2 linked regions of the Xenopus tropicalis genome follow. The protein of the gene in region 2 purifies or fractionates together with the protein of the main gene of each other region. This does not show direct contact. Links are inferred from orthologs where the notes say so. Each region holds a gene or a part of one and is shown on either strand. Other genes may lie near its edges.

Region 1 (5,148 bases), on a different chromosome or scaffold from region 2:
GAGTTGAAATCTATCTGTAATGACATTCTGGATGTACTGGACAAGCACCTCATTCCAGCTGCAAACAGTGGAGAATCCAAGGTTTTTTACTATAAAATGTAAGCATTAACCAAATTGTTTGGGAATGTTCTTTTAAGTGTGAAATATGAAAGAAACGATTTGGTTAGGGCTGCATAGATTCATATTTTAATTTTTTTTATTCCGTTTTTGAATCTTGCACCTAAAGTGTGATTACATAGGAGTGCATGCTCCGTGCTTGATTCCAACTATCCAGTCACCGAGATCCAATTCATCGTAAAGCCTATAATTGTAACTGCAATAGTTTTCCTGAAACCTTTGTATTTTTACTATTTAGAGAACCATCAATTGTTTTTGGGCTTCATTTCTCCTATACCATTTCTTTCCTGATTTTAATTTAATTTTCATTTAATCCTGTTTGCACCCATATGGCACAGATTTTAACAGCTAAAATTAGACCTGATAGAAAGTAAATGGAAGATAGGGTGGAATATGGGCTGCAAAAAAAAAAAAGTTGCAGTCTTATCATAAAATCTAAGAAATGGGGTACTTTTTGGTGTCTTGACCCTAAACTATTGTCTTGACTAGAGAGAAAAACTGGGGACAAGCATAGCTTAATATCCTGTATGTTGAACAGGACTGTTGTCTCATTATATATATTTAATATTTTAAATGTAAAATAATTATTAAATAAGATTGCTTTGTTGCATAGTTTTACCTTTCTTGCTTTTTTCTTTTCACAGGAAAGGTGACTATCACCGATATCTGGCAGAGTTTGCTCAAGGCAATGACCGAAAGGAGGCTGCAGAGAACAGCTTGGTAGCTTACAAAGCTGCAAGTGATATTGCAATGACAGAACTTCCTCCAACACATCCAATTCGTTTAGGTCTTGCACTTAATTTCTCTGTGTTCTACTATGAAATTCTAAATTCCCCTGACCGTGCCTGCAGGTGAGTGTTTCAGTGTAAAACAGTACAGTATAAAGGGCAATCTAATGTATTGCTTTAATCTGTGCCTACAGTAAAATAGAACTGTAAGTTGTAATGCAGAGCAGAAGGGAGTGGGATAGAAGAGGTGATACTAGGAGGAAGGGATACCGTGGCTCTTACTGTGCTACTTTTCCCATGGTTATAATAACTCAAGATCAGTAGGTGTTGGCTGCCTTGAAGACTACAGTGTGAGGGACCATCTAGGATAAACTCTAAAGTGCTCAGTTATGGTTGAAAGTTCTTCTGAGCAGTAAGTCTTCTATTTTAGAAAGTCTTTTTGTATAACGATATTAACATAAAAGAGAGGGCTTGCTTAAGCTAATAGTACTTTGTTTTAAAGGTTGGCAAAAGCAGCATTTGATGATGCCATTGCAGAACTGGACACACTGAGTGAAGAAAGTTACAAAGACTCCACACTTATCATGCAATTGTTACGTGATAATCTGACACTATGGACTTCAGATATGCAAGGTGATGGTATGTACAATTTGCTTATTTTACAGAAAATAGCTTTATAAGCCTGGTTGTGTCCTTTCTTGCATATTATGCCACATCAGTGACCCCTTTCTGATCTTTTCAAGTCCCAGACTTTTATAGCAGGTTTATTGACTAAAATAGAAAACACTTTTTGCACCTTTTTTTCCCCATGCCTTTTATTGAAAACTACAGTTTACATTTCCAGGCTAAACAAGGTTTGATTTATTAAGATCGTCTCCTATCCTAGAAAAAGAGTGCATATTTGTAAAAAAAAAAAAAAATACTACTGTGTGCAATTTGGTGCCCACAAAAGCGGTTATAAGATAATGTAACATATCAGCTTAGGCTTTAAAACATTGTTCCAAGGCATTTATTCACAGGCCTTGCTTGCAGCTCCTGCCCTGTTGTGGATAAAATAAAGTAGGATATTTCATACTTTTTTTTAGATAAACGTAGCTGAGAACAACCCATTGTGCTTTGATACTTGACAATTTACTGTTATCCAGTATTTGTATAGTTTACTATTCAAGTACTCATTCATGGTTAACATTATTCCAGTTACTGCTCAGCATAGCCCAAATTACTAGGTTTTATCTGTCAGGTATTTTTTTTTTCCTTTTTTTTTTTTTTTTGGCATCTTAAATAAACACAAAAATAGGGCTCCACTGCATTATGAATGGTTCATATTGTGTGCAAAATAATATGCACTGTTTTGTGTAGCTTCACTTGCAGTGCTGTATCTTAAGTAATGAACCCCTATATTTACATGTATACGTTACTGCATGTTACAAGAAGGCCAAAACCCAGAAGGTTTATTTAATGTTTAAATAATTCAGTTGACCTAAGATCTCCAGAAAAACCCAGGACCAGAGCATACTGTATAACAGGTCCCACACTTGTGCCTTCTTTTTTTCTCAGGGAAAACATGGGACAATGCAGGTGGTCGGGTCTGTAGGTAAAATAAGTGCAAGTATTGTTAGGCAGTGCTAAAGGTGACTAGAGTTATTCATGTTAAAAGTTATAGGGAATATAAAAATCTGGAAGTTTAATTCATATGTCAGTCATTTTAGCTTTTATTCGTATACATGCTTTAACATCACTTTCACCCTTCATGTCCCCCCCATCCTTTCTGTGTAGATTCTTAAAAGGAAACACAGGTTCATTTCCTAAATATTCTTTGTAAGTTAATCCAGATGCATCTATAGTCTGCCTTGTTTTCCATCATAACCACTGCATTTTACATTGTGCTCTGTGCATCTGTGTTTACCTGTTTGTGGTGAAGACTTAACCCTTTTACTGTGCTTGAAAATGTTTACATTTCATTCCTTTCTGTGGTACCAGCAGTGCAGTTCAATTCCTTGGTGTGTGACAGTGACTTGTTCCACTCATTTGCTCTTGTGCCCAGTGAGCACAAAAAGGATTAAATGGCTGCATTATATTTCGGCTGGATGGTTGCAAATCATATTATTTTTATTTATTTTTTTAAACTAGTGAAGTTCCTTGCATGATGAAACCTTTGTGTTTTTATATATTTTTTCCAACAGTTATCCTACATGGAACAGTTCTTGTACACAGATATGTTTTTGCTTCACTCATTCAGTTATACCACAGGACTCTCTTAGAGGTTACAGAAGCTTGCTAATGTGTAGGCTAAAGTGATTACTCATGCTGGTTCATGCTCTAGCGCATAATTGGAAAACCCCCATTACTGCCCTAGTCTAGAGTCTCTTCTCTGGTGCCAAAAAACACATTTTAAACACATTTTACTGAAGAGCATCATTAAGAGTAATAATAATACTTAAAAATAAGCAGAAAGGAGGGGAAATATGCCTCTCTGTGACATGGACTTGTTCTGTTGGGTGCATAAATACTATCTGAACTTTAGAAATATACATTATTTTTCCTCAGATTGAGATAAAACCCATAATAGTCTGCCTCTGACTCGTTAGGAACTTTTTCCCAGGCCCCTTAAACTGGCTTTAACTTTAGGTTAGAGACAGTCTGGGAGGTGTCGGTAGTCGTTCCTCAGTGATACACAGATTGCTGCCATACTGGCCTTAACAGTGCACTGGTTTATTTGTTTCAGTTTCTCTTTCCTACTGTTCAGTTTGTTCTCTTGAATCATAGAAAAATCTAAAAAATTCAAATTGTTCTTGGTTTGCAGTGTATTTCTGTATCAATAATGCTTTTTTGCATAGTGATGTGAATCAGTGTCCCTAATTTGTTTTATGTAATGTGTGTAATTAACAGCTCTTCTCTCTAGAAAGTAACATTAAAGCTGTGCATGGAGATCTTAGGTGTGTGATCTAAACACGCATGTGGGCTTTTTATTTAGAATTTGATGCCTGCCAGCAACCGCTGTATATTCTGTGGGAACAGTTATTTGTAAAAAGAAAAGGGTATTTGTGTGTATATACCTGTATAGTACCCCCAGCCCACTGCAAGGCATTTTTAACCTAATATAAAAAAGTTTACATTGTTGAAGTAAAGGTCTCAGGGTTACTGAGATCTGCAAAGAAGCTATTATAGATCAAGGCAGCCAGATGGTTCCATACAAGATTTGGCCCAAAGCTTACCTGGCTTCATATTCTTTTATGCAAAATATAATTTTATCTAGCTGTCCGATATGTAGTTACTGAATTGCTATACTAAGGGGCACAGACCACCTCCCTAGTCCAACCACATCATTGTGCCCAGCTGGCTAATCACAAGCCCCTGAAAATGTTTCTATAAGCTTAAATGATCTTGGCTGCCCAGGTATATCAAGGTAAAAATGGATTCATGGGAGCTGTGCAGGATTGATGGGGATTTTAAAGGAACAGGAACACCAAAAAATGAAAGAGCTTTAAAGTAATAAAAATATAATGCACTGTTGCCCTGCACTGGTAAGACTGGTGTGTTTGCTTCAGTAACACTACTATAATTTATATAATAAGCTGCTGTGTAGCCACGGGGGCAGCCATTCAAGCTGGAAAAAGGAGAAAAGGCACAGGTTACATAGCAGATAACAGATAAGTTCTGTAGAATACAATAGTGTTTTATCTGTTATCTGCTATGTGCCTGTGCCTTTTCTCCTTTGAATGGCTGCCTCCATGGCTACATAGCAGCTTATTTATATAAATTATAGTAGACTTTCTACTATTTTTTACCAGTGCAGGGCAGCAGCACATTATATTTTAGTTACTAAAAAATGAAAGTGTATAAAAGTGTTACTGTTCCTTTAAGCAGTGCTGTTATTGTATTTGGAGAATAGAACAGCAGTAACCATTTGTTAAACAAGTAGGGCTGGTTCTAAATCTTGGTATGCTATTGCCTGAATATAGATATAAAGGTCACTGGCAGTGAAGGGCAGTAGTCATGCTGGTTACCTTAATTACATAGAAAAATACAAATGCAACTTGGGTCTATTCCCATAAATGAGCAGGCACAGACTACTCAAAAGTTGCCTTGGGTTCACCCGGTGTGCGCCAATCCCCAGACTAGATTATGGAATTCCTCTTATTGACCCAAGTGCATAGTCTAGCCAGGCAGTGTTCTCTGCGCATCTGCCTTAAAGGACAAGGAAAGGCTAAGTCACTTGGGGTGCCAAAATGTTAGGCACCACCAAGTGACTTAAATTGCTTACCTTGTACCCCGGGCTGGTGCCCCTGTTAGGAGAAAACAG
Region 2 (5,650 bases):
GTTAGTGTTGCTTGCATGAATATGTGTGGCTCCTTAAATATTTTCTCCTGGCAAAACATACCAGGGCCATGTGTATTGGTCGTAGAACCAAAGACAACAGACTGCAGTTTGAACTGTAATTGCTGTTCTACTCCTAAAGTCTCTGACCCTTTCTAAAGGCTACATTCATACAGGTACTGCTGTGCCTGAAATTCTCTCACCTGTGTACTGTACAAGTGTTGCTTTGTGAGAACCATAAAAAAGTAGTCCCTCCATGTATTAATCTATATAATGTTACTGTTTCTTTCCAGTGAGAAATAATATTCAACCATAAATTAAAGGAGAAGGAAAGGTAAAAACTAAATAAGCTTTATCAGAAAGGTCTATGTAAATACAGCCATAAACACTCACAGAAATGCTGCACTGACTTCTCTGTAAAAAGATTAGTTGTGTCTGTTTTCCTGTGCCACAGACACACAGCTTTCTGCTTCCTGCTCTCTCCTGCTCCCCCCTCCCTCAAGAATGCTAAGAACTCACTCCCCCCCCTTAGGAATGTGGATCTGAGCCAATCAGCAGGAAGCTGACTCATAGTCTAACTAACTAAGCATGTTCACTTGGTCCCGGTGTCTGTGCAGGAGCGAGGCATTATGGGAACTTTCTTTACACAACTCAGCATATTTTCTTCCTGTTTGGCTTTAGATCTTCTGAACAGGAGAAATATGGGGAGACTTAAGGGCACTATTAAGACAACTGAAAGTATGCCTGCAGCTTGAGATTAACTCTTTACTAGCCTTTCCTTCTCCTTTAAAGTGAATTAAATTAAAAAGTATTTCACATTTTGTTAAAGACAGCTGAAAGGGCATGCATGGTGTGTGTGAAAATGAAAATTAGGACTTCCAATGTCCATTGAAAATGCTCTTCAGGCTACAACTTGCACCAAATATGAAATAGCATTGGTCATTTGGGGACAATGTTCTCTTTCATTTTAGCTGTTCTGTGCTTTCTTGCAGTTGACTATGAATAATGATTTATATAGACAGTCTAACCACATTTGGATTTATCTCCCTCTCTGCTTACCTCTCTGATTATAGGAAGCAGCCTTTCAAAACAAGATTGGGCCATCCAGTGGCCAGCAACAGAATCAGGGAAGGAAAATAATCCTGTCACACAGCAGGAGACTGCCCAGTGGATACGAACCCACCTTTCCCAGAGCCCAAAAGTACAGTCTAAATGCATCCAGCACTACTGCCATTTGCCAGTGGCTCATGGGCCTATGTATACAAACGTTGATAGATTGACTGTTGAAGCCTACCCAGGCTTGTGCCAACTTTCTGAGACTGGGCATCGATCATTACCACCATCCCCGCGCCAGAGGCACACAGCACACAATAACCCACCACGAACACCTAACATAGTGACGACTATGACGCCTCCTGGTACACCCCCCGTAAGAAGAAAGAACAAACTTAAACCCCCAGGCACCCCTCCTCCTTCATCCCGAAAACTCATTCACCTCATACCTGGATTCACATCTCTGCATCGAAGCAAGTCCCATGAGTTCCAAGTAGGGCATCGAGTGGATGAATCTCATACTCCCAAGTAAGTCAAAGGTTATCTTATGTCTACATACCGAAGCATGATACTGAAATCATCTATCCCTCATACATAATAAAAGGCACTAAGTTTGTCAAGGAGCAGTAACCCATAGCAACCAATAAGATGTTTGCTTTTAAACATGTGACCAATAATTTTTAACTGCTGATTGGTTGCAATGGGTTACTGCTCCTGGACAAACTTAGTGCCTTTTTTTGCATAACCTCTTAAGCCTTGTTAGGACATGTTTAGTCGTCAAATAGTTGCAGTAATAGCTTTAAAATGCATTGGACCTAATTGTCAGAGGCCCCTGAAGTGCTTATTGTCCTGCTGTGTGTGTTTGTCTTAATAATAACCATTTTTAAAAGTATAATTTGATTCCATAAGAAGAATAGATGCTATAACATTATTATTAAACAATGGTATGTTCCTGTGTCCAAGCTCGGACAAAAACTATATTTTACAAGTTATTGCTGTTTCCAGTGAATCTTTGCCATTTCTTTTCACAACTAAAAATAAGTGTAATATATGTAAATGCAGTTGGATGATGCTCTCTCTATATATATACAGTATATATAGAAACTATATAATAATGTTCTGATGACATGAAGTTTTGTTGTAAAAATATGTTCATACACGTGCATACATACACATACAAACACACAAAGAGAGCTTTTAGTACTGCAGATATGTAGCTCAGATTTCCGGTTCATGTTGTGGATGGTCTCCATGAACAACAGATACAGCAGTGATGCCCTTTCATGTGAACTGGAGACCCGAGTATCCCAGCAAGCAGATGGGCTTCAGAATCATGAATTAATTTAAAAAATGATAAGCGGAGATGGGTAGGGAAAACAGGACCCCTTGTTCTGCAGCATAATGTAAACTCTGCTTCCTGGTCCTTGATTTAATATACAAATTGTCTGCTGTTTTGGAACATTTTTTCTGTTGTTAACCCTTAGGCCACATGTATAGATGTTAAAATTATAGTAAACTGTCTTATTTGTGCTTTTCAGTACCGATTTCATACCCAGGATTTTCTAGATATGGGGTGTTTTAAATCCTGCTTTTGAGCAATAACTCTCAAAGAAATCTTGCCTGTGTTCAGAAGCAGTGTATTTATAGGGGGTGGGGAGAGGCACATAGACATCACCCCTCCCAGTCCCTAACCATCCCCTAACTTGTGAGCCTGAATTAATTTCTTAAAAATGATTTCCTTTTTCTCTGTAATAATAAAACAATACCTTGTACTTGATCCCAACTAAAATACAACTTGGAGGCAAAGCATTCCTGTTGGGCTTAATTAATGTTTAAATGATTTTTCAGTAGACTTATGGTTCAGAGTTCCAAATTATGGTACGGCCCCTTATCTAGAAAACCCTAGGCCCCATGGACTCTGGAAAACAGGTCCCATACCTGTATAAGAATTCTGGGAACTACTTTCCTAACTCAAAGCATTATTTCATATATAAGTTTTAGAATGTTTTCAATGTACTTTAACTGTTCCATTTGATAAAATATAATGACCTTTTGACAAAAATATAACTTTTTAGTTACTAATTATTTGTGTGCATAGTTGATTTATAGAAATGTTATGGGTGATAAAACCAGAACATAAAAACAAAGTGAGCCCATGCCAGTAGCTGAATGAGAAGTTATAATGCGCTTAAGACACAGTCATTTATGCCCCACTGAGATTTTCTGTTATTAGAAGATGATTAATGTTATCAGAATCATTAACTAGGTACTGTATAGTTAACCTCAACAGGAAGCCCATCAGGAAATTCATGTCTCAATTTCTTTTCATTGACTACTAAAAGAGTAATAGATTTGTTATCCAGAGAGAAGGCTAAAGCGAGTAATCACTGGAGGTTCAAGAGGTTGACTTTTGTCTAGTACCAAAATACTCCATAAAAAATGTTATATTAAACAAATAATAAATACATGTAAATTGGTTTCTAATGGACATGTTTAGTTTTGCTGCATTCATTTTCCATCATCTAATAAGAAAAGGGTTTTAGTTTATTACTCGACAAAAACACCTACAGGAAACAAATAAGTTCAGAATGCATGTAAGAAATTGTTTTCCTATTAATCTCAAAAACCAATTAATCAACATTTATAAAGAGCAAAGGTAAACAGAATAACAAGCACTCGCAAGCTGTCTGAAACACAGGAGGCTGGTCAATGGCACTTCTTAGAAAACAGATACACAGCTAATTCTGTATCAGTGCTAATAAATTAATTCTAGGGAATCATATTATTAGTGGTCCAGGAAAAAAGACAGAACATAATGATTCATCAGTTTTCTACCGTTAATTAATTTTTTCAGCTATTTAAAAAATGGGCAAATGTAATAAAATGTGCAAAGTTTGCTTGTAGTCTAATCACCTATAGTTACAAATTGGCAGGAAGCATTTAGTGGCCAATGTGGCATAGTTCTAGTGACATGACTCCCTATCGGCAGATCCTGCGACTGCAGTGGTAACAGGGTTGCCCAGAAAGGGCTCATATCTTTCCTTTCTGCCTTCACCCATGCTGTCTGATCAATTTACTATCAGATGTGGGAGGAAGGGGATTGCAATAACTTAACATTGTGGGGGGGGCTCAAAGCATTTTTTTTACTGGGAGAGGGGGAGGAGGCAGGTAAAGTTAAGTTATGCCACCAGTTATTGCACCTGGGGAAGCCAAATGCATTTAATTACATATGGGGAATATTACCTACTTAACAGTTAGCATTGGGTCAAGTGGAAACCTCAACTGGATTGGACCTTTTGTGGGGGTAAAGAATATTTATTTTTGATAGGGGGTTGATAACACCTGTGTAAAGTACATTTTATTAAAAGGCAAATTAGGAAGAAAAAAAAAAAATTATTGCATTACAGTCACAGTATCAGTAGTTATAAGATATTTAAGATACATTAAGAAATCCATAGTTAAGCATCATAGGAAAAATAATTAACCAATATTTTTATTTGTTCAAGAGCTACGTACAATGGATGTTTCTAAAAGATGAGGTAAAATCAGGGGCCAGCTTTATGGTGGAACATTGAGGGCATTAGCTCTGCACCTTTAGAAGGGCTCTAAAATAAATGCCTACAATTTTTAGTGTTCATGTAGAATTATCCAACCTGCAGCCATCCCACAACCACCACTCATAGAATTCCCCTGATAGCCTTTGGCCTGGGCTTAAGGTTGGACATTATTCATTTTTCATATTTTTTTATCAAGTGGATGGGATTCCATACTTTCTGATTTTCCTGGGGCCCCATCTTTTTTTTACACTGGCCCTGGTCACAAATGACAAAAAAAAAAGGTGATGACAGAGTAACAAAATTTTTCCAGTATGTTCCTATAAAAGCTATTTTACTGCCTGTTGTGCTGTAACCACATTAAATCAACTCCTTTTAGTTTCAGGCTAAACAAGCGCAATGGTGCTTGTCAAACTCTTTATTTGATTTAAGTGCTGTCTCATTACATTTTATTCTTTCATTTCGCCAGATATAGCTGCTGCAATGAGCAAACACGAATGCACAGTGGCAGACTGCGGCATCGGAGAAGCAGGGGGCCAGTGTAACCCTGCCATGTTTGTGTACTGAAGGCTGTCCCGTGACATTTGCCTCTCACATGGCTACATTATTTATGATAATTGGCATACCCATGCCATCTGTTTATTTGAAAATATTGTATTGCCATTATTGCAACATTATCAACCTCGGCTGTGCACATCACTGCATGTGGTAATTACCCTGCTTTCTTTGGAGGGGGTGAGTATCACCCTATAGAGTGTCATTTAGTAGACTGGCTGCACAGTTATTGCCTACTGCTGGTATCTGGGTGCCAATGCAGCAAAAACACTTACTGATCATGAATCACAGAAGATTTGCTATTAAAGTATAACAATAATTTTGACATTCAAAAAAGACAGATATATAAAGTCTTTTCAGACTGATGAATTTAGATGGGCTTTTACTGTAGGTATTGTGGTGCAATGGAAATGTAATCACAGCACTGTAATTTATAGCATTCCTGATCAGAGAGCAAAGGAAAGAATAACACTTGCATTCAGCGGGGGGAC

The links. Proteins that work in one complex are often made in the same cells at the same time.
Region 1: the proteins of ksr2 (region 2) and ywhae purify together in Homo sapiens (affinity purification with mass spectrometry; 3 studies listed by BioGRID and IntAct, with this or other methods). This does not show direct contact. The link is inferred for Xenopus tropicalis from reciprocal best matches to the Homo sapiens genes KSR2 and YWHAE.

Annotation. Positions count from the first base shown.
Region 1 is NC_030678.2:46,048,603-46,053,750, reverse strand, and holds part of ywhae (14-3-3 protein epsilon), read left to right. Parts: coding exon 1-98; intron 99-761; coding exon 762-968; intron 969-1,347; coding exon 1,348-1,484; intron 1,485-2,621; coding exon of another isoform or gene 2,622-2,629; exon of another isoform or gene 2,630-2,663; intron 2,664-5,148. UniProt on the Homo sapiens protein: Adapter protein implicated in the regulation of a large spectrum of both general and specialized signaling pathways. Binds to a large number of partners, usually by recognition of a phosphoserine or phosphothreonine motif.
Region 2 is NC_030677.2:165,132,659-165,138,308, reverse strand, and holds part of ksr2 (kinase suppressor of Ras 2), read left to right. Parts: intron 1-1,070; coding exon 1,071-1,578; intron 1,579-5,650. UniProt on the Homo sapiens protein: Location-regulated scaffold connecting MEK to RAF. Has very low protein kinase activity and can phosphorylate MAP2K1 at several Ser and Thr residues with very low efficiency (in vitro).